Linked DNA regions of Caenorhabditis elegans. The protein of the gene in region 1 interacts with the protein of each later gene in a pairwise test. Each region holds a gene or a part of one and is shown in the gene's direction. Other genes may lie near its edges. The genes, in order: ftt-2, emb-30, mat-1 and F53C11.5.

The links.
Region 2: the proteins of ftt-2 (region 1) and emb-30 interact in a two-hybrid assay, tested with the Caenorhabditis elegans proteins (one large-scale study listed by BioGRID).
Region 3: the proteins of ftt-2 (region 1) and mat-1 interact in a two-hybrid assay, tested with the Caenorhabditis elegans proteins (one large-scale study listed by BioGRID).
Region 4: the proteins of ftt-2 (region 1) and F53C11.5 interact in a two-hybrid assay, tested with the Caenorhabditis elegans proteins (one large-scale study listed by BioGRID).

What each region holds. Positions count from the first base shown.
Region 1 is NC_003284.9:11,603,196-11,607,084, reverse strand, and holds ftt-2 (14-3-3 domain-containing protein), read left to right. Parts: upstream 1-1,665; 5' UTR 1,666-1,704; coding exon 1,705-1,755; intron 1,756-1,804; coding exon 1,805-2,177; intron 2,178-2,452; coding exon of another isoform or gene 2,453-2,616; intron 2,617-2,644; coding exon 2,645-2,808; intron 2,809-2,873; coding exon 2,874-3,032; 3' UTR 3,033-3,377; downstream 3,378-3,889. UniProt on the Caenorhabditis elegans protein: Required for extension of lifespan by sir-2.1. Required to modulate lifespan, in concert with hcf-1, acting redundantly with 14-3-3-like protein par-5. Promotes nuclear export of yap-1.
Region 2 is NC_003281.10:9,435,436-9,443,446, reverse strand, and holds emb-30 (Abnormal embryogenesis protein 30), read left to right. Parts: upstream 1-1,986; 5' UTR 1,987-1,988; coding exon 1,989-2,156; intron 2,157-2,201; coding exon 2,202-2,365; intron 2,366-2,409; coding exon 2,410-2,504; exon of another isoform or gene 2,505-2,549; coding exon of another isoform or gene 2,550-2,771; intron 2,772-2,816; coding exon of another isoform or gene 2,817-3,281; intron 3,282-3,327; coding exon of another isoform or gene 3,328-3,537; exon of another isoform or gene 3,538-3,540; intron 3,541-3,590; coding exon 3,591-3,685; intron 3,686-3,698; exon of another isoform or gene 3,699-3,748; intron 3,749-3,915; coding exon 3,916-4,328; intron 4,329-4,386; coding exon 4,387-4,638; intron 4,639-4,997; coding exon 4,998-5,252; intron 5,253-5,313; coding exon 5,314-5,428; intron 5,429-5,474; coding exon 5,475-5,659; intron 5,660-6,040; coding exon 6,041-6,400; intron 6,401-6,448; coding exon 6,449-6,661; intron 6,662-6,717; coding exon 6,718-6,856; intron 6,857-6,905; coding exon 6,906-7,019; intron 7,020-7,219; coding exon 7,220-7,291; intron 7,292-7,339; coding exon 7,340-7,783; and 2 more. Other genes in the region: putative tyrosine-protein phosphatase pir-2, read left to right, coding at 87-118, 503-638, 686-810, 857-1,355, 1,402-1,689; putative 3-hydroxyacyl-CoA dehydrogenase F54C8.1, read right to left, coding at 2,550-2,771, 2,817-3,281, 3,328-3,537. UniProt on the Caenorhabditis elegans protein: Probable component of the anaphase promoting complex/cyclosome (APC/C), a cell cycle-regulated E3 ubiquitin ligase that controls progression through mitosis and the G1 phase of the cell cycle.
Region 3 is NC_003279.8:5,123,392-5,128,740, reverse strand, and holds mat-1 (Cell division cycle protein 27 homolog), read left to right. Parts: upstream 1-1,539; 5' UTR 1,540-1,553; coding exon 1,554-1,725; intron 1,726-1,774; coding exon 1,775-1,922; intron 1,923-1,974; coding exon 1,975-2,235; intron 2,236-2,286; coding exon 2,287-2,462; intron 2,463-2,657; coding exon 2,658-2,865; intron 2,866-2,908; coding exon 2,909-3,008; intron 3,009-3,053; coding exon 3,054-3,209; intron 3,210-3,252; coding exon 3,253-3,394; intron 3,395-3,441; coding exon 3,442-3,940; intron 3,941-3,988; coding exon 3,989-4,344; intron 4,345-4,394; coding exon 4,395-4,549; 3' UTR 4,550-4,826; downstream 4,827-5,349. Other genes in the region: prp-31 (U4/U6 small nuclear ribonucleoprotein Prp31), read right to left, coding at 1-400, 449-566, 615-727, 802-891; Y110A7A.9 (WD repeat-containing protein 11), read right to left, coding at 4,888-5,097, 5,140-5,349. UniProt on the Caenorhabditis elegans protein: Probable component of the anaphase promoting complex/cyclosome (APC/C), a cell cycle-regulated E3 ubiquitin ligase that controls progression through mitosis and the G1 phase of the cell cycle.
Region 4 is NC_003283.11:13,787,926-13,795,917, forward strand, and holds the start of F53C11.5 (Zf-C3H1 domain-containing protein), read left to right. Parts: upstream 1-1,961; coding exon 1,962-2,036; intron 2,037-2,134; coding exon 2,135-2,234; intron 2,235-3,091; coding exon 3,092-3,325; intron 3,326-3,907; coding exon 3,908-4,357; intron 4,358-4,809; coding exon 4,810-4,887; intron 4,888-4,933; coding exon 4,934-5,025; intron 5,026-5,069; coding exon 5,070-5,298; intron 5,299-5,521; coding exon 5,522-5,627; intron 5,628-6,071; coding exon 6,072-6,617; intron 6,618-7,048; coding exon 7,049-7,261; intron 7,262-7,309; coding exon 7,310-7,678; intron 7,679-7,726; coding exon 7,727-7,831; intron 7,832-7,915; coding exon 7,916-7,992.

The sequences.
Region 1 (3,889 bases):
TTCTCATTGATGAGTAAGAGTATACCTCACTGCACGGTGAAAGAAGATGTGGAATAGATAAGACGTAAATTGCGTTGAAGGTCTCTGTATAGTTGCGCACCACACCACGCATCTGTTGTTCCTAATTCTGTTTTGATAGAATGGGGTTTGAAAGGTTTCGGGATAGGAAGAATGAAGATGTACATGTACTTCCTCGAAAATCGGAAGTGAAGACAACAAAAATGAAGATCAAACAACAGTCGGATGTGTTCCGCGACACCAATTCTAATTGATATGGATGTTTGTACAAAATACCAGTTACAGTTTCAGAAACATCAGGAAAAATTACAGATACTATTGTAATAAACATTTTTGTAAAATTCTACATATGAATTAATGAAAAGAATGAATAGAACCTGGCCTTATATGTAGTTTAGAATTGTAAATTTATCATGCTAATTATTTTTCTGAATCTCCTTTGTAATTTAAGGCAAATACCAGGCACTTTCAAGTTAAGTAACACGATTATCAGCCTGTTTTGCCTGCATGTTTACGCGCCCTGCATATTCGATCCTAGGCTGTTGTGAAGCGAGAGCCAACCGCATCAGCTCCGAGCCTCCGAGCCCACCGCCGCTGGTCATTGATTTAGAACAAGTCTGCAGCGGTCGTCAAAGTAGCCCCCAAAGCGCTGCCGCATTGTTTGAATTTGCTCCAAGTTTCCAGAAACATCCAGGAACATGCAAGAATCATCATTTAACTTTGAAAACGGCAAGCTTCTGTAGTCACATTTTCAAATTTTCAGACCATACATTACTCAAGATAATTTGAAGGTAAATTATGGCCCAAAGAGTTATGGTGAGCGCTCTTTCTATTTGAATAACAGAGCGACTTCAAATGACGACCGAGCGCCTGGTGGGTGGGCAAAAGGCAGCCCCCTAGAAGCCTCCGCATGTCCGATGTTTTCGTCCTATTTTCTGCACAAAAATATTCAAAGTTCAAGATTTTAGGCCGAGTTTCTAGTCAACTAAAAGCCCGGAAAAAGACGAACCCGAATATCTAATTTTCATCTAATATATCTGAAATTATGTTGACTTCCTTCAAAGAAGAAATGTGGTGCGCGCTCTTGTTGACACATTGCGAAAGAGACCCTTTATGAGTCGTAGGAGGCGGCGGTTTTCTGTTGGCAGCCCCCTCGAATCACTCCGCAATTGTGTGTTTGTAGCGCGCCAAACGGCTCTTTTTAAACACAGATATCAAAACTTATATTTTCTTCACTTTAGCTGATGAAACAGACTTTCCCCTCTCAGAATATATAATTTTTATTCTGAAATTCGCAGTTTGAATGGTTTTTACAGACCCTAAAATGATGGTGCGCGCTCCTTTCGGCAGATAGGGAGAGACGCACAGAAAACGAGAGGGAGGGCTGGGAGGGGTGCCGCTCACTCTGTTCAACATTACTCGCTCGACAACGTCCTTCTCGTTTCTTCTTGATGCATTGTGTATACTTCTACAAGGGCTCATACGCCTCGTGTTAGAAGAGATGAAAATGTCCCATCAGTTTCATATCATATAAGAATACGGAAAGGAGCCATTCTTTGCTTTCTTCAAACAATCTTCATTTGTTTACCGCCCTCTTTCTTCTCTTTCTCATTTGACCTTTTTGTATCAAACTCTTTATATTCTCGTTTTTCAGTGACTCATCCACTTCAAGCAACTAAATCAACTATGTCTGACGGAAAGGAAGAGCTCGTGAACCGCGCCAAGCTTGCCGAGCAGGTATGTAGATGTCTCAGGATGTTCTTGAATACTAAAACTTTAATTTCAGGCTGAGCGTTACGACGACATGGCCGCATCCATGAAGAAGGTCACCGAGCTGGGAGCTGAGCTCTCCAACGAGGAGCGCAATCTTCTCTCCGTTGCCTACAAGAACGTCGTCGGAGCCCGTCGTTCTTCATGGAGAGTCATCTCTTCAATTGAGCAGAAGACCGAAGGATCTGAGAAGAAGCAACAAATGGCCAAGGAATACCGTGAGAAGGTTGAGAAGGAGCTCCGCGACATCTGCCAAGACGTTCTCAACTTGCTCGACAAGTTCCTCATTCCAAAGGCTGGAGCCGCCGAGTCCAAGGTCTTCTACCTCAAGATGAAGGGAGACTACTACCGTTACCTCGCTGAGGTCGCCTCCGGAGACGACAGAAACTGTAAGTGATTGAAAATGATGACTGTAATTGGGACATAACCGTGCACTCGTTTCTAACCCTCATTCGTAAGCTATGCATCCTTGTGTGAAGTGTGGAAAGATATCATAGGGAAGACAGAGAACGGGAGTTCAGGCGCGACCCAATTCCACATCGATGCGTAGTTTTTGAAAATAAACTCTAGGGCAGCTCATTGGGGGTTCTCCTCTAGGGAGTTCTGCCTCTCATAGTCATACTCGTTTCAAAGAAGACCAGAAATGAATATTCCTTCTTTGCAGCGGTTGTCGAGAAGTCGCAGCAAAGCTACCAAGAGGCGTTCGACATTGCCAAGGATAAGATGCAACCAACTCACCCAATCCGCCTGGGACTTGCTCTCAACTTCTCTGTCTTCTTCTATGAGATCTTGAACGCCCCGGACAAGGCTTGCCAGCTTGCCAAGCAGGTGTGTTAATGTTTTTATTTTATTTTAGCAGTAGCCAACATTGGACAAACGGCTTACGCGGAGGCACTTGAAATTGCAAATAAAGATCTGTCACCAACGAACTGTGTTCGCCTTGGTCTTGCACTCAATTATTCGGTGTTTTTTTATGAAGTAGCAGCAAGCCCGGATAGAGCATGCCAGCTTTCCAAGCAGGTGCTCGTTAAGTTTTTGACATAGCATCGTAACTTCAAAGCTATTGATTACCTTTAATCTTTCAGGCTTTCGATGACGCCATCGCTGAGCTCGACACCCTCAACGAGGACTCATACAAGGACTCTACCCTCATCATGCAGCTTCTCCGTGACAACTTGACTCTCTGGACCTCGGACGCTGCCACCGATGACACTGATGCCAACGAGACAGAGGGAGGCAACTAACTCCTTCACACCGACACGTTACCGCCACACACCCCTCACCTCGATCTTGAAAATGATAAATAATACTATTTGTCATATGATTTATTTATTACCATTGACTAGTTAAACCATCGTTTTTCTTTCCATTTTTTTCTATAAATTCATCAATCACTCCCCTTTTCCCATCAACCAAATGCAGAAGTTATTCAAATTTCTGTGCTGAGCCCACTCATCAAAACTTCCCGTCTCTACCCATACAATTCAATGTTCCGTTTTGTTACGGCTTTTCCCCCTTTCAAATCTCGACATTCGAAACACCCCCAAGCTTTTGAATACACATAATAAAGTTGTAACACCAACTTCAATATGAGAAATTAACGCAGATAATCACGTCGAAGAAATATTAAGAGGGGAGGATTCCGATTGACATCCAAATGTATAAAAATTAGTGCAATTGAACAAAGTTCGAATGAGAAAAGAAAACTGAAACGAACGTTTTCTTTTAGCGACATCTTGTTATTGCAGGTTGTTCTTCCTTAACCAAGATAACTACTACGTCTTAGGCACTTGCTAAGGTTCAATTCAAAATTTATTTCATTTATTATAGATATGAACAAAGATGAAAACTAGAATTTAATGTTCATATTCATTGAGGAATAAGAAAAGGTGGAGTCCTGGATTAAATCTCCGGTACATGACACTTTCATAGGTTTATTTCTAGTTAAATTGGCTTTACAGATATAGCAAAATTTTGGTTAGTGACATACTTGAAAACTACTTATTTGGACGGGTAGGTTTCATTTGCAACGCCAGGTGGCGGCGCCAGCTAACAACCAAAAAATTGGGGTTTTTACAGCCGATAATATAAGGAGTGGTAA
Region 2 (8,011 bases), on another chromosome or scaffold:
GGCAATTTCTACTCGACTATTCAGCACGCGTATCAAACCCAATCCATACTTTTCCGTTTGTTTTCGTCTTGCCCTTTTGAGTAAAAATGGTGCGCGTGTGCCGAGTAGTCCCTAAAGAGTGAGCATTTCATTATTTTTGTTTATTATTGGTCTTGTTTGAAGCTTTTCTTGGAGACTGCCAGATCAGAAGGCCAGATAAACTCCATGAAACGCTGTTTGGATTTGGCATTGATATATTTTTTATATTTTCGATAACATTTGTGGTCATTGCATTGATTCTCCGTTTCACTACCGCCTATATTCCTTCGTCTCGTTTTAAATATAAAGAAATTAGGAACATGCGTGTATGTTGGCGGTTGAGAGAGCAGTTGAAATGATTTGAATGAGAAAATTTCAAAAACCACTGCAGTCGCTGCCCTACACGATTTCAGTTAGGTGTGAGCGATTAAAACTTGTTATTGCTTTACATGTTTTAACCTCAAGTTTCATGTTTTATTTTCAGCTGGTCTAAATTTCAACCGGTTGGCAATGTCATTCCACGAACCCGATTCATTGTTTTCAAGACACCAATCAACAGTCAGTTATCCACGAAAATTCATAAAGAGCAGAGATTCACAACAAATGATTTATTTCGACAGGTAAACTGGACACATTGTTTTCCCTACATAACAATATTTTGTTTCAGTTATCGGAACGTGGTCAGTACCTTGGATTAGTGGTCGACTTATCAGACACGGACAGATACTATGATAAAAAGGATATTACTGGCATGTGTGTACAATATGAGAAAGTCAACTGTCCTGGGAGAGGGTAAATCACCAGATACCGTATTGAAACTAATAAAATTAACTTCCAGGTTTATCGAAAGAGATGATTGCGTTGAGTCCTTCCATCAAGTAATTCAAGATTATACTGACAAATGCGACGATCCAGATGCTTTGATTGGAGTACACTGCACTAATGGTATTAATCGATGTGGCTATCTGATCTGCCGTTTTTTGATTGACCGGCTTGGATGGAGTTCACATGAAGCAATTGACGCATTCGAACAAGCCAGAGGATATTCGATTGAAAAGGGAGCATATGTGATGGCTTTGCACAAGGCTGCTAAAGACAAGCGAGATAAACAAGTGGATTCGGATTCCGACTCGTCTGAGCGCCAAAGAAAGAAGAAGAATAAGAGAAAACACCGTGAAATTGTGGAACATGAAAATATTGTGCTCATTAATACAATTATTGGCGAGTTGGGAAGTCAAGCTGCCAGCGTATCTGGAACCGACTATCAAAATTCACCAAACGGAGTATCCGTGGACCCAGGACAACCACAACCGCACCACTGGGGATTCGCTATCAAGGTAATAGAGTATCACATCTTTATATTCACCAAGTAATTTTTTGCAGAGATCGAAATACGCTCAACTCAATCAACCTGTTGCAAACGGAGCCAATACACCACCTGAGCCGTCAGAAGGAACACCACAAGAAGAAGAAGAGTTCGAGGAAGACTTTGAAGAGATTGAAGAAGAGACGGAAACAGAACCAGGAAAAGGGCAATCAGTATCATCTAAAAGACGTGCACGAAGGAATAGAATGCAAAAGTACATGCAGGTTATGCAACGCGGAAGATTCCATGAAATTCAAGCTATTCGAGAAGAGGTCGCATTAAGTCACGGCAGTGCCAGAGATTAGGAGGCAGTGCTTCGTTCTTCTATTAAATTTTTTAGACTTTGTGAATCATTTTGCTCAATCATTTTCGTCTCCACAATGTTCTCCCTGTTCAACTTTTGATCTTTTATCGTTCCACTCTTGTACCTGACTTTAAACGTGCACTACGCACATTATTCATATTGTTATAATTAATCAATTTTTATGAACTTTGTGATAATTCCATTTTGTGTGTTGTGTTCTTTCAAATTTCTAGGACTTGAATATTGAATACCTGTTCGAGCTACGGACCAGGCACCCCTACTATCGATTCTTCATTTCAGATGGACTTTTCAATAGTCAAAACTCAAATTCTCAATAATAGGCGGACATTCCGCACACCATTCAAAGTGTCGAGTATGTGTTTCAGTTCGCAAAATGATCTCATCGCTCTTGGATCGAAAACTGGCGAAATATTGTTGAAAAGAACATCATGGAAAATGATTTGGAAGGTAACAGGAAGATTTCAAAAATATTATCAAATCAGGATATTTCAGACCAATATCAATATGATTCAAGCTGTCGGAACCGAATGTAAATTGGACAGCTCTGTTTCTGCATTGCACTTTTCACCGGATGGACGCTTTCTCGCAGCAGCTACAAGTAAAGGCATAATACATTTGTTAGATGTGGAAACGGGAAAAGTTCGATTTTCAGTCAAGTAAGAGATCTATATAATAGTTCGAAATATCTATTGAAATTCAGAGCTGCATCCGAAAAAATCGCCAAACTCCACTGGAATTGTGTTCGTGAGAAGCCATTTATAAGCAATCTTGGAGAATTCACTACAAGAATCAAAAGTAAGAATGTTTTATTCTATCAAAAAACAGAAGTAATCTTTCCTATTATTTCTTGTACGAGTAGAATCCGTCACCAGTTTTTCTTCCAAGTTTTCCCTCGGCAACCAGCTTATCTACCAATGGACTTGCTTCGAATAGTTGTACTTCTGGATACTTTGCTGCCCATCCATCCATGACGAATTTGACCGTGTCGAGACCAATGTAGTCGGCCAGCTCGAATGGTCCCATTGGATGTCCTGCTCCCAACTTCATGGCTTCATCGATGTCCTGAAACGATATTTGGAGTTTTTAGAAAGCTGAAAATCAACATACGGTCATTGATGCATCTCCTCGTTCATACATTCTCGCTGCTTCGAAAAAGTATGGAATAAGCAGACGATTGACAATGAATCCAGGACTATCCTTACAAGCGACTGTTGTTTTTCCAACAGCTGTTCCAAACTTGATCAGCGTTGCATATGTTTCATCCGAAGTGTCATCAGATCGAATTACCTCGAGAAGCTTCATAACTGGCACCGGATTGAAGAAGTGGAGTCCTCCGAAGCGAGTTTTATCTTGCAATCCTTTGGCGACATCCTCAAGAAGGAACGATGAAGTGTTCGTGGTCAAAATCGAATCCTTCTTGCAAGACTGCTCGATTTGGGCAAAGATTCCCCGCTTCAAATCGATGTTCTCAATGGCGGCTTCGATGATCAGATCGGCATCAGCAACGGCGGTTGACACATTGTTACACGTTTTGATACGTGACATTGTGAGAGTCACGAAATCCGACTTTTCCTGGAAAAAACAAGAATGAGAATCTTCAAACAATTACGATATATACCTTATCAGTTCCTTTTTGCTTTTTTGAAAGATGCGTCACACTTTGACTAATTGCCTTCATCGCTCTATCAAGTGCTTTTTTATTAACATCGGCCAGCATCACATTGAATCCACTACTCGCCGTAACTTGAGCTATTCCCGATCCCATCTGCCCTGATCCAACGATCGCCACGTTTCTGATGTTTTGCATGGCACACTTTGCTGTGAACATCATCTGAAATTAATTCTAATTAGAGACTCCTTAATCAATATCGAAAATTTCAGATGTTGAAGCCATCGAAGGAGCTATCGAATTGGCAGAAACGACACCGAACATCAGTCAAGAGGAAATCGCATTCGTATACCAGAGGCTTGATGAGGTAAGAAACTAACCTTGATGATATGATCGACGTGTTTTGCAACAAACAATTGAGAGAAATAATTGATTTTTCAATCAAATTCGACCATATCAGATCTACTGACGTGGTATTTTCCGTGGAATTGTTTAATTAATTTCACATGAACTATTCGAAATTAAAATTTGAAAAAATCGACAGAATCTGACTTTTTTCAATGAAAAAAAAACTGTTCCTCAATAATTTTGTTTCAGGATGGTTCATCTTTCAAACACGAAGATGCACATAAAGAAAGTCTCGAGCGAACTCTGATTTCAACTGAAACATTCCGTGAATCTCTTCAAAATACGATCCTTCTAGCAACTGATGACATGGATTCGAAGATTATTGTACTTGTTGCTGGTGTGTTCCCATATATGGAAATTGATATCAGTGACACACTTCTACAATACAATCAAAGCCTTCTCATGCTCTACGATATGCACTACAGTTCAGCGTTTGGTGGCGTATCATTTCTCGCCACTACATATGGGCCATTTCTGGACTGCAAACAAAATGAGTTGAAGCCTCCTGGAGCTGAACCAAAAAAAGATGGCCAAGGATGTCATACGCTGCTTTTCAATGTTAAATTGAATATTAATTCGTCGCTTTGGGATACTGCGCTGAGGTAAGCTTTTGAATTTCTGCGATAAGCTCGAACAATTTACTTTTAAAAATAAATTTAGATACATTCGCCTTCTATTTGGCTTCAACTTGTACAGCATTTCTCTGGAAACTACAAAACGAAATTGGGAAGAGCAAATAGACAATCTTCACTCATTATTCGATACAAAAACGAAAGCTGTAAAAATTGGAAATGTGCTTCTCGAAATGCTGCTCTCCGGGTCGACAGATGCGGCTGGCGAGGCATTTCTTGAACGAGGTCTCGGAACTGATGGATTGGATAAAATTGAGCTTTTTGCAACGAAGCACATGCCGTATGTAATATTACCTGAAATGTTGCGATTTTTGGGTGAAGGTCTCGACACGACAATTTTTGTTAAATGCAAAGAGATGAGCGCCTTTAAAGAACACAGCGGAATTTTAATTGATTTTTTAAAAAGTTTTTCCTTAAGAAATTTTTTAATTAAAACAAAAAAATTTAAACAAATCATGAAAAAAACTTGAGCAAACCCGATATGTAAGTGTGATTACAGTACTCTTTAAAGGTACACACCATTTTCGCATTTAACAAAAACTCGTCGTTTCGAGACCCGTTACGGTAGTTTTGTCGTAAAAAGCGCAACATTTCGCAACTGGAATATATTATTTGTTACTAATTTTAATCGGTTTTCAGGGAAGTTTGTCGTATTGCTCGGGGACAACTCTCAACGTCAGCCCGAAATTTGTGCTTCCAGCGATGTGAATTCTCGACATCATTATCTCGTTATGCAAAGTTTATTCAATTGAAAGATGACGACAGTTTTCTTTATGATGAGGATCCGCCAGCATACCTGTCAGAATCGAATATTTGGCTGAACACTTTGGAAGAGAAAATCAATATTCTTGATATGAAAACTCGTCATCTTGGAATTCAATGCTTGACTATGATGTAAGAAATCTGACGATCTAGATGTAGACAATAATGATAATTTAAAAAAACCAAATTTCAGGCAAGAACTTGGACATCTCGTCAAATGGATATCCATGACAAAACCATTTGCAAAAACGATGAAAGTTAATGCTTTGATGAAAATAAAAAGAATGAACATTGCAAAAATTCTGCTTGTAAGCCATTTATATCCTTTACTTTTATACAGTACACTTTTTTCAGTACATTGTGAGAAATTTCATTCCGGATCCAGAAGCAGTGAAAGATATCGAAAACAGACTTTTCAACCTCAAGGAGTTGGTTTCGAAGCAAAAGAAAAAAGATTTGGAAGACAAGTTTGATGAGGTTGAATATCTCTATAGACTTGAGAGAATTGCCGAAGTTGAAAGGAAGAAATTAATCGAAACGTATGTTTTGTAACATGACTTCTAAATTTTTGAAGTATTCTGAAACTCAGAATTTTTTTGCGGAAAATTATTGAGATATTTGGAATCAGGATGCCAAAAACCCCTATAATCCCCAGATTTGTTGGAAACACCCGAGGCATCGTGTTTGCTACTGGATCATAAGATTCCCGAAAAAACCTCAAAAATCAAGAACTTTAAGAATTTTGGTGTAAAATTTAAAAAAAAATCTCTGAAGCTCTTACAGCAGTTTTCAATTTTTTATATTCACCAAGATAATAGATTTATTGACACCCTGATATCAAATACCACAATAATTTTCTACCAAAAATTATTATTTTTCAAATATATTCCAATTTCAATTTGTAATTTATATATTTTCAGATTCCACGAAAAGTTCCGATTTGCCGATCTAGATGATGACGACTTGACTCCATTGCTTTTTCAAGAATTGGATCATCCTATTGACATTTTTACTGATAGTATGATGGAACAAAATGATTCTTCCCCGTTTCTTGAAGAAGACGAAGGAGAGCCAGAGCAAGAAGAGCAAAAACCGGATGAGGAGCCTGAACCAGAAGGAGAACCACAACCTGCATGTGATTTGGATAGAGTTGGCTCATTTTTCGAGAAAGAGTTGTCACAAAAAGCGCTAGAAGTTCTTCCAAAATGCGATGAAACATTCGATTGTGTTCTGAATGAAAGAGGAAGTCGTATGAATTCAATAGAGATTCAGAAAATGGGGTGAGAAATTGGAAGTTGACTAGTATAATTTTATATTCAATTTTTTAGAATTCTACGGGTCCTTGAAGATTTGGCTGCCACACTATCTTCTCCTCAGAAAATTCATTGTGATAAAGCTGGAAATCAGAAAAAGTTGGAAGTTTCATTCATTTATGAAATTACTTCAACACCTACCCATCAAGGATATCAAGACGCAAAGATCAGCAGTGTCACTCCATCATATTACAAAAGACATCCATTTAATCAATTATCTGGAATGGGGTAATCTTTTCATTAAAAGCCAAATATTTTTGACTATTGCTTATTTCTAATTTCAGACGATCAATTCAAGTGTCTGTGCTTCAAAAGAATGAATTCAGCTCAATCGTCATTGTACCAACGAGTGATGTATTGCCTGAAGATGAAAATGAAGTGAACGATCATGTTGAGAAGCTGAAGAGATGCTATGAGTTTGAGGTATTTTATATATAAAAGTTTTCACATTTAAATAAGCTTTTTTTTTTAGAAAATTGATGTCACAGTTGATAAATCGAGCGCCGAGAATAGACCACCAGGGGAAACTGATGCAATGGAAGTGGATAGTAACGAGCTGAGAATTGATGTGGATCTTGGACCAGTGGTTTGTTTGCGGATAATTTTAATTATGAAAAACACGAAAAACATCACAAAAATGCTTTAAAAAATTTTAATTTTCGGTTTTCCCGTCAATACCTAACGAGACCCAATCATTGGGGGCGGAGCGTTCTCATTTTTTTTTGAAAGTGGAGCACTGTTGCGCCTCGATTTAAAAAACAAAATTTTTAAACGTATTTTTTTCAGGTACCTGAGTACGATACTCTCATCGAATTGAGTCAAGTTCACCCCCTTCATCATGGAGAACTTGTTTTATTGGTATTTTGATTAGTAATTACTATGATTCCACAAAATCACATTTTTCAGGGAAAATTCACATCCGCACAGGAAGGAACTGGCGTGATGTCACAAATGATGCGATCAATATCTTCATATCCTCATGAAATCCCAGAAGATAAAGATGTATTTGCAAAGAATAGCTCTGAAGATGGAAGTTCAGAAATTCCAATCGAAACCTTAATAATTCATCCAACAATTCAACTGGCTGCCTATCTTCACGATGACGGAAGTAAAATCACGATTGGAGACATGAAACCAGAGGTTCCACCGATCGCTGACTATGAGGAGAAGACTGTTCGAAAAACTTTCCGCGACTATCAGAGACGTCGAGAACGATATCGGGAAGATATGGGAGTAATGAACATGAATGATGTTCAGTATGATGTTCTTGTTCAAGAAGCTATGGATAGTGGACGTGACTTGACGGATAATGGAGAATCAGATGAGGATGAAGAAGATGATGACATTTAGTTTCCAATCGATGGATAAATTATTGCATTTCTATGTTTATATTTCGTATTACTTTGAAATTATTTCTCCTTTCCAATCTATTGCATTTCTTTTCTTGGCTTTCCCTCTTACAATCTCATTTTGCTTTTTGCGGGCACCTATAAACGTGTTTTTAGTCAAAACTCGTTTCTTCTAGTTTTAGTTTGATGCAAATGTAAGGCTTGAGTTTCAAAGTTTTCAAGTTTTCAA
Region 3 (5,349 bases), on another chromosome or scaffold:
CTAGATGGGCAGTAGTAGTTGAGCCGAGCAAAGCAACCAGATTCGGGGCAATCAGAGCCATTCGCCATTCTACAAGTTGGTGCATTTCGAGACGATTGACATGAAGTTGAGCAGCCAAATTACAAGCATCCATGACGGTTTCCAGCTCATTTGGCTCAAGCTTGACTCCTTGTGTTGTTGAGACTGTTACACTGACCACCATGCATGTTGAGGCATCTAGAATTCCGCCGAGTTGTTCTTTCACTACCTTGCTGTTGATCTCGTTTCCCAGTAACTGTACAGTAGCCAAATAGGTCAACGCGTTAGGAACAAGCGTTTCTAGTTCAGGAAAGCGCTTTTCATATTTATCACGAACAAATTTGTGAATCACATTGATCTCGTTGTCGATATCTGCAGCGACCTGAAATTAATCATTGCCTTTTTTGTTTCTTTTTCATGATGTACTTACGTGGGATAATTTAACAATAAGCTTGTATTGTGGATCTGCTTCAAGAGGAGCTGTCACCTTCACTTCATCCTGAGGCCGTTTCAGTTCAACTTCCAATTGTTTCACTAGTGCTAAATATCTGTAAAAGTATTTTAAAATTATATATTAAAACAAAACTAAAACTAACTCATCAGATCTGGCAAGCTTTGCTACATCGTGCACTGATGCATATTTAGTTGTATCCATCGGTTCTTCTGTTGCTTCTTCAATATCATCATCGAGTTCTTCCTTTTTGACGCCCTGAAAATTACAATTTTATCAGATGCTGCAAAAACTCTAGATTTTAAATAATTTAAATTTTAAATTCGATTTACCTTAAGGTTTTCTCCGAGATCTGGAATGTCTTCCAAATCCTCATCGTCGTCATCGTCAAAATCAGCCATAAGTTCTTCAGCCAACGACATTTTTAGGTAGTTTAAAGATTAACTGAAATTTTAGATTAAAATAGTATTTCAATTCTCTTAGTTAAAAGAAAAAATGAACAAGGCAAAAAGAAAAAAAGAAAAGAAAAAGAAAAAAAACAATTTCGAAAAACATTAGGATTGCGAAGTACGGTATGCGACTCCGCAAACACAAAAGCACGCAATGCACCTCATCTGACGACAATTGAAGACCGGCCGCCGCCGGCTGTAGTCGGGCGCAAAAGTTCACGTTGTACGCCGTTCCCCGTCTTTCTCGTTTCTCTTCATTGCTGCAGTTCGCTGGAAATGATCTACTCTTCAATTCGATGACATTTTCTCGGCAATCGATTCATACAACGTTCACATGCCTGCTGGCAAACTATTGCATTTTTTCCAAGCTTTGTTTGAAACCAATCGATAAAACTCAAATGATCCTCATTTAATGTGAACGCCTGATCAATTTTTCTTCGATTTCTTGGCACTTTTAGTTTTTAAAGTTTGAGTTCAATTGTCAGTATAATCGATACAATAACCTAAGGGATGTATTTGAGAAATGGTCAAATTGATTTTCGTTTCCCTTTTGTTCGCCGATATCTCTTTTCTTGAATATCACCGCTTTTCTCGATTTAATAGTTTATTTAGCGTTTCTTCAGGTCGCGAAGAGAATGAAAGAATCAGCTGCGTCTGTAGCTGTGCGGCCTCAATTGAGAGAGGTGTTCGAGCGTTTTCCAGCGGACGCACACCGAACAATTGAAGATGAGATTCATGAAATGATGAAGTGTTACGCTTTTGATGATGCTATTTTTCTAGCCGAGCTTCATTACGAAACCGATAAAAGTGGTTTTCGTTTTTAATTCATATTTTAATTTCAATAACTTTTTTTCAGGCAACAACTCCGAATCTCTTCTTCTATACGCTGATTGTCTGTATAGAGCCAATAAGAAAGAGGAATGTTATGGTCTCCTTAGTTCAGTTAAATTGAGCGGAGCTAGACTCTTCTATCTACTTGCAAGGGTATCCTACGATTTAAATAAGTTAGTTTGTAATATATATGTATATTTATTCATTATTTTAATTTTTCTTTAGAATCGATGACTGTAGAGGAGCTCTTTTCGAACATGACGATGGAGTGATACGGAAAGATATCCTGGAAGAGCCACGGGTTGCATCACATGCTAATTTGCTTCATGCTCAAATGCTTTGCGATGAAAGTTACATGGATCTGGCTTTAGAATCTTGTCAAAAGTCTCTGGATGAGAATATTTTGTTGTGGTCAGCTATCATAACTTATTTACGGTTTGGAGGTCATGATCTCGCCCATACTTTTGAAAAACATCACCGAAAATCGTAAGATTCTGAGAATGTTTAAATTTAAATATTATGCCGACATTTTTATAGAAATGGTCTATACCTGGATAGTCCAGCTTCGAGTTTGAAATCCGAAACACCATCACCAAATGTTCCTGGGCCGTCGTCTTCTTCAGCTGCCAGCACTGCTGAACCTTCCAGACTGGAAAGTTCGGTCAGACGATCTACACGCGGTACGATTGCTTCGGCGAATCGCGAGACAAGAAGTGAGTGAAGCGGAAAAAACTATTGAAAAATTTTCCGTAAATTTATAGGAAGTATTTATAGGATTTTCTTTTTTGGAGAATAAAATTTTGGAATATCAGTTTAGAAAAAAATCCGACTCTAAAAATGCGATTTTTCAAAATCCACTATTAAAAATTTTTGAAAGATCATGCTGAATCAGAAATTAAAAGTTACAGATACCACATCAAACATCACTCCAAGACAATCCACTCCTGGATCCACACCTTCACGTATTAATCCAACTGCCCCGAGAAAAAGCTCCAGAATCAGTGAAATGACGACACGACGTACCGAATCTTCAGTCACTGGATCTCGATCATCGTTATTCACAGAACCCGAGAGACCACACACGAGGGCTACACATAGCTCTAGAAATCGCGCAAAGTGAGTGGTGACAGATTTTGAAATTTTATTTCAATAATTTCAGTGCTGCACTAAACAGCGATACGGAGAATTCGAATGCATCGAATACGAGAACTCGGAGTGGAATTGCATCAGTTACCAGAGGGTCATCGTCGTCCCAGAGGGTAACATTTATTTGGACACTGAAATTAATAATTTTCTAAATTTAGACCAATCCTGTGCGTACTTCAATCAGAATTGCTGACGCCGCCGCTGCTGCAAACAAGACTGCCAAAACTCTGAGTCAAAGAAGACGAAATGAAAAACAACCTTTGGTATCCAGAAACTCAAATCTTGCACGGAGTTTGTCGGGTTCTACCAATTCTGTAAGAATATAATGACCAGTTATTTTTCTTCAATTATTAGCAGCTTCAGGTGGCATCAACAGCTAGTGAGCGTCCATCAGAAGATGAGGTATCCCAGATCAATCCTCCTCTCCCTTCTGTGGCTTCTTCTTTGAACAATGATGAACCTATGGATATTGTCGATGGAGTTTACGATCCAGAATACAGTATGAAATCAGTTAATCAAAAATTAATGATTTTATTTGTTCTTCAGAGAAATTATTTGATGTTTATCAACACATTGCACTTATTGAAGAGTCAATCAGTACATACAATTGGAGATCGGCTGATGCTTTATTCGCAAAACTCGATAGAGATATCATTCTTAACACGTCTATGGTCCGTCTTCAGTTGGGAAGAGCTTGCTTCGAGCAATCCGAATACAGAGAGTGCCGGAACATTCTCGATGATTTGCATAAACGTAGAAAGTGGAAGGTTGACGGAACCGAGCTATTGTCCACCTCAATGTGGCACCTTCAAGATACTCATGCTCTTTCGGCTCTTTCTCAGATTTTGACAACTGAATCACGGGAACGGCCACAGAGTTGGTGTGCCGCTGGAAATTGCTTCTCATTACAAAGACAGCATACTCAGGCAATTGAATGTATGGAGAGGGCTATTCAACTTGACAAACGATTCGCCTACGCATACACTTTATTGGGGCATGAGCTTATCGTTCAGGATGAACTTGACAAAGCTGCGGGATCTTTCAGGTATTTATAGGATCATGAAAGTTTTTAATTAAAACATTAAATTTTCAGATCAGCACTTCTCCTTTCTCCTCGCGATTACCGTGCCTGGTATGGTCTCGGGTTGGTTCACCTAAAGAAAGAGCAAAATCTGACTGCACTGACCAATATCCAGAAGGCTGTTAATATTAATCCAACGAATCGTGCAATGCTCTGCACACTGTCCCAAATCGAGCAACAACGTGGACAAATCGATACTGCTCTCGTGCTGATTGACAGGGCTCTCACTCTGAATCCTCTTGATGTGGCTTGCCGTTTCAATAGATCACGTCTCTTGTTTGAGGCGAATCGAAATGAAGAATGTCTAGTGGAACTTGATAAATTGAAAGCTAGTTCGCCAGATGAAGCATTCATTTTCCATCTGCTTGGTACGTATTAAAATTAGTTATACTATTTTATATAAATTTGAATTTTTCAGCACGAGTTCACCGAAGAATGGGAAATACTCATTTGGCTCTTCTTAATTATAGCTGGGCGGCTGAGCTGGATCCACGTGGCGAGCAGAACATCACTGACTCGAATGTTATCAATCGCGAGGAATACGAGGACGACGAGTACGGATCGCCAGTATAATTTTCATAACTCGTTCTACTTCTCGATAGCTCATCATAGCCAATTTCGTGCTATAATCGTCTTTTTTGGCGCGGGTTTTTCACTCGTCTTTTCTTTCTTTTTTACTTTTACTCTGTTCTATACTAATCGCGGATATATATATATAGTCTGTCGAAGAAAATGCTTTGAGACTATAAACTCATTTTTTGTCAAATTCTTAAATTGTAAAGCAGGAACCCATTTATCTATATTCACAAGCTTTTCAAAATTCGCCTTATAAATTAGAATTTAAATTATATATCACTTTCCGCTATTTACACAGTGATTATTTCACAACCAAACACGAAAAAACTAATTAATCACGGTGTAGGACAAGAAGACAGAGGTGGAGTGGATGTGGTTGTTCGTAGAATCAATCGAGCTAGAATAGCATCAGCAGAGGATGTCGCTTCAACAACGTCGGGCCAATTACGACGAGATGCTTCGGCTAAAACACGAATTTGTTTAGCCTCGTCGGCAAGGTGTCCGATCCATTTTGACTCGACTTCAGTAGGATCGTCCAATCCCATCTATAAAATTAATTTATACAGATTATTTTTTTGTTAACGTACCTTTGCATATACAATACTTTTCGTCCATAATTTCTGTGATTGTAGATACTTGCAAGCATCTCCACCAGCTCCGACCAAGAACAATAGTTCAACTCCGTCTTCAATCAAATCGGATGCAATCAAATTTGTAGCGATGAGCTTTATCAGAGATTTTGCTTTTTCGTTATCCTGACAAGAGACTAGCAACGCTGCTTTGATGCTTGCGTACCG
Region 4 (7,992 bases), on another chromosome or scaffold:
CGAAAGGTCTTTGCATATTGAGAAAATTTTCCACAACACGTATAGTAACTGTTTTGTCGGTAAAAACCAGTAAAATACTTTTGCAAATTGGTCAGTTATCCCCCGTACATGCGTATTCACTCATCCGAAATCTGGTTTGTGATCGAAATAGCAAAAAAGTGATCGTACTCACAAGTCGTTCATCATCTTGGCGCCGTGTGTGTTGGCCTTCAACAAAAAAATCCCTGGTCACATGACATAGGACAATGAGATGAAAGATCTTTCCGAAATGGGTGAGAGAAGAATGGGATATAAAAAAAAGTTCAATATTTTATTATTGAATTCAATTTTAGCTCGTTTCCAAAATCTGCTGGTTTTTCAACTTTTGCATTGAATTCGTGGTAAATAACAGACAAAAAGTCTAACGCCTCGACCCGACATTTTGCGATCATCTTTCCGTTTTTGCACGGGCCGCGAATAAAATAAACGATCGATGATCAATAGAAAAGTGTTTGTACTATACGAATGGCTCGCTTCAGAGTCACTATCAGCTCGTTTTTAAAGTTTATCGGTCGAAGGGAGCCAATGGGGCGTTTCAGACAATTTTTGAAAAAAAGTGCAAAGCGATTATTGATATTGACAGTAGCAGCCCTATGCGTCAGAAATTGAAAAAAAAACAACTTTTCTAAAATAGATGTATATTTACATCGATAGAAAGACGAATATAGTGTTTATTAAAACATTATTGCTCTCTAGCATCTGAAGGGTGGTGTGATGTATGCGCAGAATGTTCTCGGCGTTGTGAAAAGTCGATATTTGCGGGCGGAATAATTCTTTGATGGAGGAAAGAAAACATCGCTTTTGAATGTGAAAAGAACGGAGGAGTGGCTGAAAATAAGTGTTTTTCTGCATTTGCAGTCGGGTGGCGGGTGTTGCGAAAGTACTTACACTTCCACAAGCCGGGCGGATGAAAATAATACAATGGAACGGCTTGTAATAGTATCCTACAAAGAACCTCGGGGAAAAAAAACAAGGAATACGAAAAAAGACGAAGGAGAAAATCTTCGTCAAAAGCTCAATTAGTGATGGCGAGAGGAATTGGCTGAGATCGAAAGAACGCAAACGGGAATATGTATACACTTCAAAGTCTAATCGAAGATGAGGAGAAAGAAGAAACGGAGGGACGGATGCTAGTAAAACACAATTTGGCCGAGGGTCTCGAAGAAAACGTCCTATACACAATTTAACAAAGTTTTCTTTTGTTGAGCTCGCGAGCGGAGAGACTGCAAAATGTTGTCTATGGCCGATTATCATATTGAAAATTGATTTGGAAAGGAAACTGATAGCTCAAGGTGGCCTAAAATGTTGCATGGCTTATGCATTTTTGGAAAATCTAAAGAGATGTCTAGTGTTGTTCAAAATTTCTAATAGAACTGTTTGCCAATTGTTGACCAAAGACTCTTGCTCGGGCGGCATTCTCACGTATATCTAGGAGTCTAACATATTTTCTCTTCATCGTTATCATCTATACGTCCGAACCATCACGTGCTTCTCCTTTACTACATATACGAAGATTGGACGAAAGAAAGAAGTGAGGAGAAAGAAAGAGCGAGCCCAGGAGAGGAATTATTTATTGAACCGAGGTCTCTGCTTCAGACTCTATGTTTTCTCTACTTCCATCTTTTTGTCTGCGTCTCGACGATACATTGAGTTGTCAATAGAGCGGTGTTTCAACACCAACGGCAACCATCCCCCGACGGAAAGGAGAACGATGGCTGTGGCCGTCCACCACTCAAATTGATCGGCCACTACAAGCCTTTGTTCATTCGGTTGGGAGACTTCAGGTCTGCGTCTCCACAACACCCAAACACTATATTAGAGTATTTCTCTTTGCCGATTTATGTGCTGGTGAATGAGAACAAACTGACTAAGCACTTTATTCTCCCCCTATTCCATCATTTTATCACTTTTCATCCTGTCTTATGGACAATAATCAGAGGTCGGTGCCGAGTTCGCCGGCACCAGGTCACGGGTCTTCTGGATATTTTTCTCAACAGGTATATCCATCGTTCATATTTTATTCCGGTCTGATCAGTTTAATTGAACTGTAAACTATGAATTAATAGTTTAACCTTCTCAAACAATTGAATCTCAGGAAAGTACCCATCACGATGAGCGAACAACACCTCCAACAGCTTTTCATTTTCCGGCATCACATCAAGGACAGCCGGCACCTGTAATGGGCCAACCACCTGGTTTGTCACTTTCTTTTCATCGGTTCATTGAGCTAATGCAAGCACCCAAGAGCCATATTCGAGATAAATACGACACAAATATTTCGTAATTCACGTGACCCACACCTAGTTCCGGTGGCTCGTATTTCAAAAGCTTATTTATTCCGATCTCGTAAACTGCCAGTCAACAAAATTTCGTGTAAAAAAATTTTGATTTTCATTGAAACCAATGAACCTGAAAATGTTCGTTAATTTCACGCTCGATTACTCTTATTCTTCGTTAACTTTTCTCGATTCTTTAATACAATTCCTTCCACAAATTCTCCCAAGATATCCATCTAGCTCAACAGAATTGAAAATGAGCCAGAAAACGGGCAATATGGAGCTCACGAAGAATCCTCCTAAGAAATTGGCTCTCATTAGAAATGCATTGGTTTTCTCTTGTCGAACTGTGCACAAAGGACAAGACATCATTCTTATTTGACCCCTTCTATGTCACAATGCTTCCATCTTTGTCAATTACTGATCGATGGTTGTGAAGAGAAAAAGTCACATATACAGAAACAGACACAAAAAACCGGTTTCACAAAGAAATAGAGACCGACACACACACAAAATTTGACGATTTATGGCTGAACATGAGACATAGTGTGCCATTAAAAACAATCATTACTTTTTATTAACATCACTTCAATTTTTTGTCCTTCTGTGAAACTTTACGCGCGCGAAAAACGTGTCTTTTTGAATATATATCTCATTTATATCTGTGAGGTTTGACCTAATCATAAACCAATTTGATTGCCTATATAAACTTGTGTTGATTGTGTATTGAGTGAAAAGCTACATCAGTTGTATCTATAATTTTTGAAACTTTTCAGGCTACCCAATGCAGGCGCATGTTCTTGTCGATCCGGTCACAGGACAACATTACATTGTTCCACAGTACTACCCACCTCCAATGTATCCATATCCATCAGCACCACCTCCACATCCAAATGCTCCAATGTATTATCCATATGGTCATCATGCACCATCTCATGCTCCGATGCCTTCACAGAAAATTCTACCGCCGCCTACTACTTCGGCTCCGAGTAATTCTGGCAACAATTCTAGTGAGTTTTTAAGATTTTTTAAATTACAAAAAACTGCTTTGAGATGAGCTGAATCAGGGCTGAATTTTAAAAAAAGTTTCGAAAATGAAACAATTAAAAAAATAAAAAAAGTTTAATAATTTATCCGTACTTGTGCGTTAGTTTTCGAGTGTTTTTTTTTCGGAAAAAAAGTACAAAATTGAAAAAAATTAATGAGATTTTTCCTTTTTTCATGTTTTTGGCGAAAATTTTAATTTTTTTGTTTTTTTTTTGAAAAAATGTGAAAAAAAGGAACGAAAAAAGCGAGAAAATTGTGTTAAATTTTTATTAAAACATTATTCAAAACAATTATTAAAAGAACATTCTAGAAAGTAACGTTTCAAGCTTTAAAAAAAATAGTTGTTTCCTATTTTCGTTACCGGACATAAAAATGAAAATTAAATTTTTAAAAAAGAAGAAAGCAATTATTTTCCGGACTCAGGCGGCAGAAAACAAAAGTTTTCGTTTTTTTCCCCGAAAAAAAAATCTAAAACTAAACTTTTCGCCAAAAACACGAAAAACTAGAAATTTTCAGCTCTGATGCTAATATTAAATAATTTTCAGTTAACTATATGGGAGTTCAAATGTACAATAATCCAGTTCAAAGTCACGAGGAAAAAGAAGGTTCAGAAGATGCAATGTCAACAACTTCAAATATATCCAGAAGTTCTTTAACACTTATGCAAAATCAGAAAGTACCACCCACGCAACATCAACAACAATTTGGACGAGAGAATAGTCGAGAATACATGTATTTACATCGATCCCCAACTACAAATCCTGCTCCACCATCACCCTTAATGCGTCCCAAGCTGTTTCATCAACGATTAGAAACTGTTACCGATTCACGTGGCGGAACACAATCGGATTTCGAAGGAAAAACGCCAACGATGCGACAGAAATCAGTTGATCATCAACCATCATCGGCGTCAGATCATGAATCTGGAAAACGATTCTCGAGAACATCGTTCGGAACGCCAGCAGCAGCTGCTTCAATTGAAGAAATTGTGAAAAGTTAGTTTTTATTCCAAAAAATAAAAAAAGAAAAATATAAATTCAAAAATATAGCTTTTTTTTTCAAAAAAAAGCACAAAAGTTTTGTTGTTAAAACTTTATTAATTTTTCACTCTTATACAAAAAATTAATTCTCTACATGAAAGGAAATTGGCCATAATGTCTGAATGTAACTGTAGTTTTTAAAAATCGGAAAATCGAAAAACGAAACATTTCGATTTGACTTTTTATCTAATTTTGTTTATATTGATGAGAAGAAACATAACAATTTATTTTAAAAAAACAATGACCAAATTTTAAGCTAATTTTTTAAAAATCGAATTTTTGTTTCGAAATATCTGAAAATCGGAAAAAAAAAGAACAGCCATTTTTTGAAAAATTCTGTTTCTATTTTCTGTCATTTGAAGAAAAATACTTTTTTTTCACTCTTTAAGATAAATTTGAATTTTCAGCTGTCAACCCACCTGCAAAATCAGTCCGAATGGAAATTAATTTTGCCGATGTATTGTCAATGCCAAGTGAACCCAAACGTAAGATTTTTTATCCAATTTATAATAAAAATTATAAATTTTCTAGCAGCAAAGAAGTCCAATGCAACAGCATTCACGGTAAATTTGGGAGAGGAGAAAGAAGTATCTTTACAGGAAGCCGCACGGACTCTAGCTGAGGTACTCAGAAAATTTAACTGTTTTGGAATTATTAAAACTTTCAGAATCGTCGTAAAGTAAAGCTTGCAAAAAGTGCATCTCATGACCGCACCCCTTCAACCCCGGATGCCATTGCAGCGAGTAAAACCAACAAAAATTACTTGCTTGAAAGATTGTTGACTGGAAAAACTGCAATTGATAATAGCAATGAAGAAGAATACGTAGAAGGAGAAATAGTAGAGACACCAGAAGAACAATTTGATGCTCGATCGGAGGCTCTCACTTTTGTTATTGGTGCGTTTGAATGATTTGAAAATTTGAAAACATTGCGAAATATCTAAAAAACCGACCATAAATTGTTGAATATCACATGAAAAACGAAACGATGCAATAAAAATCCAATAGAAATTATCTAAATTTCCATTGTTTTCGAAGAGTTGTTTGTTTGATGTTTCCTCACACAAAATATATATTCAAAATAGAAATTTGATTGTCTGAGAATTATTTTATTTTCCAGACACATCAAAACGAAACAACGGTGGTGGTTATGGAGGACAAGCACGTTTTCAACAGCAACGAGTTGTACAGTACTCAGATGATGATGATTCTGATAGTGATAGCGAGTAAGTTACGGAATTAAATTTTTTTTAAATTATTAAATAATTGTTACGGAGAAAAATTAAATTGGAAAATTATGTTATTTCCTGAAAAATAAAAAAGAAAAGAAAAAATCACACTTTGAATTTTCGAAAAATTATTTTAAATTAGTCAGAGATGGTCTAAAAAAATGGTCGTGATTTTATGTGATTTTTTAACTGAAAATATACGGTATTTTGGAACCGAAAACTTTGTTTTAAAATTTAATTGTGAACTGAAATATATTGTTTTGAGATATTGTTTTAACGAATTTTCAAGAAGTTTCAACTTGGCAAAAAAAAAGAAAAATCATTCAAAAAATTTTTTATTAATTGTTTTTACGGATATATTCGGTCATTTTATGACCCATTTTCATAACTCCATTAATAACTCCATATTAAGATTAATTAAATTTATTTTAAAATTTCCAGATTTATGGATCAGTATGCCAATTCTCAATCGCCAAGACCCTCTCAACCACTTCAAACAATTGCACCACCACCATCACAATCATCTAATATTCCACCACCGTCTCTCCCTTCTCCCCGTCCTTCCGCCCTTCCAGCTCCTGGATTTTCTCGCCAAATTTCATCGGCAACTACACTGACGGCCCAAGCTCCTCCTCCTCAAGCACTGACGTCTCCACGAACTCCATCGACCTCCGCCTCTCCACGAACATCATCTCGATTCGATCGATCTGGTGGTGGAGGTTCTGACTTTTTGCAAGAACTCGCAAAATTGAGAATGATGGCCGGGCTTCCGGCTGCTGGTCCAACTGGAAGTGAAGCTGAACAGAAGGCAATGATGATGGCTCAACAACGACCAACGACGACGTTCAGAAGAAGTGAAGTAAGCTCATCCGCACGAGCTCCAACAGTTTCTTCGTCGCAAAAAATGGTTGGACTTGGAGAAAGAGGAGGATCAAGAGCATCGTTTACTGGGAAATCGAAGGAGACTAATACTACACCAACACCAACGTAAGTATCTGGAAATTATTGAAAAAATATAAAATTGTTTTAAAAATTATATTAAAATCCAAGTGGAAGAATTCCAAAAATCGTGTTTTAGATGTTGCACAAATTTCTCGATGAATTTTTTATTACCAAAATCAGGGTGGTTGCAAAAAAATTTATTTTTTTCATAATGCTAACTATCTAAAAAAAAAACATTTTTGAAAAAAATGTGTTTTTTTTCGGTCCGAAAAAACCAAAAAATCTATTGCCAACAACACAAAAAAAACGGCAGCTCTGTCAAAAATGCGAAATTTTGCATCAAAAAAGGTACCCGGTCTCGAATAACCGTTTTTTTAAATTAAAAATAGTGTGATCTTTTCGGAAGTATTGTAGCGAAATTTCACTTCCTTGATATATTTGTCAGTTTTAAATTTTGATTATTTTTCTTCTTCCAGACGTCGAAGCGAGAATCGTAGATCCCTGACCGGAAACTCATCTCCACAACTTTCAAATCTCAATCGTCCTCCATTCAAACCTGGAACACAACGTGGAATTATGATAGGACAAAGTGAGCAACAAAGGGAACAAGAGATGACTGCATGGCTTAGACGAAAAGATTATAATCCGATGAAGGCTGCGGCAGCTGCAAAAAAGCCTGAAATGACAAGGTAAATTTCCAATGTTTAATTCCCATCTTTACACCATCATTATTATAGAGAACAACAATTCACATCTCGTCGTTCAATGACTTTCCATAATACAAATGAAGCACAATCACCATTTGGAAGAGGACCTTCTGGAATATTACCATCTCGACCAGCTCCACGTAATAGATCTCAAGAGCCACGAGATATTAACAATGAAAAGTATCGATCAGTACAAAAAGATCAACGATTGAAGCGTACAGTTGATATGCTATCTCAAAAATGCAAGAAGAGCATAGAGCTTATTAGAATTCAAAACAAAGGATGTTTATCAGTTTCTGTAGAAGATCTTTTATCTGCAGCTGCTGAAGAACCTCGACTCAATGAGACACTCGATGATCAGCTCGACAGATTGTCGGATGCTTTCGATGCAGTACAAAGGTATTTTCAATCAAATTACTTGAATTGTTCAAAATAATAATTTTCCAGATATTTGGAGCAATATTCGCTTGACGGATACAACTCACCAACTTCAGAAGATCGATATTTTGACGATGATGTTCTAGATTCAAAATCGACATTTTCTGGTGTGAGGTAAGATTTTAAGATTTTTTCTAAAATAATTTTCAAAGCGTCATTTTTTAAATATCACTATAGATTAATATGTTATTTTTCCAGCACTCATCAAGAACGAAGCAATGTGCCATCAACGGAGTCGTTGACCAGTTCCTACCGAAAGAAAATTCTTGATTCTT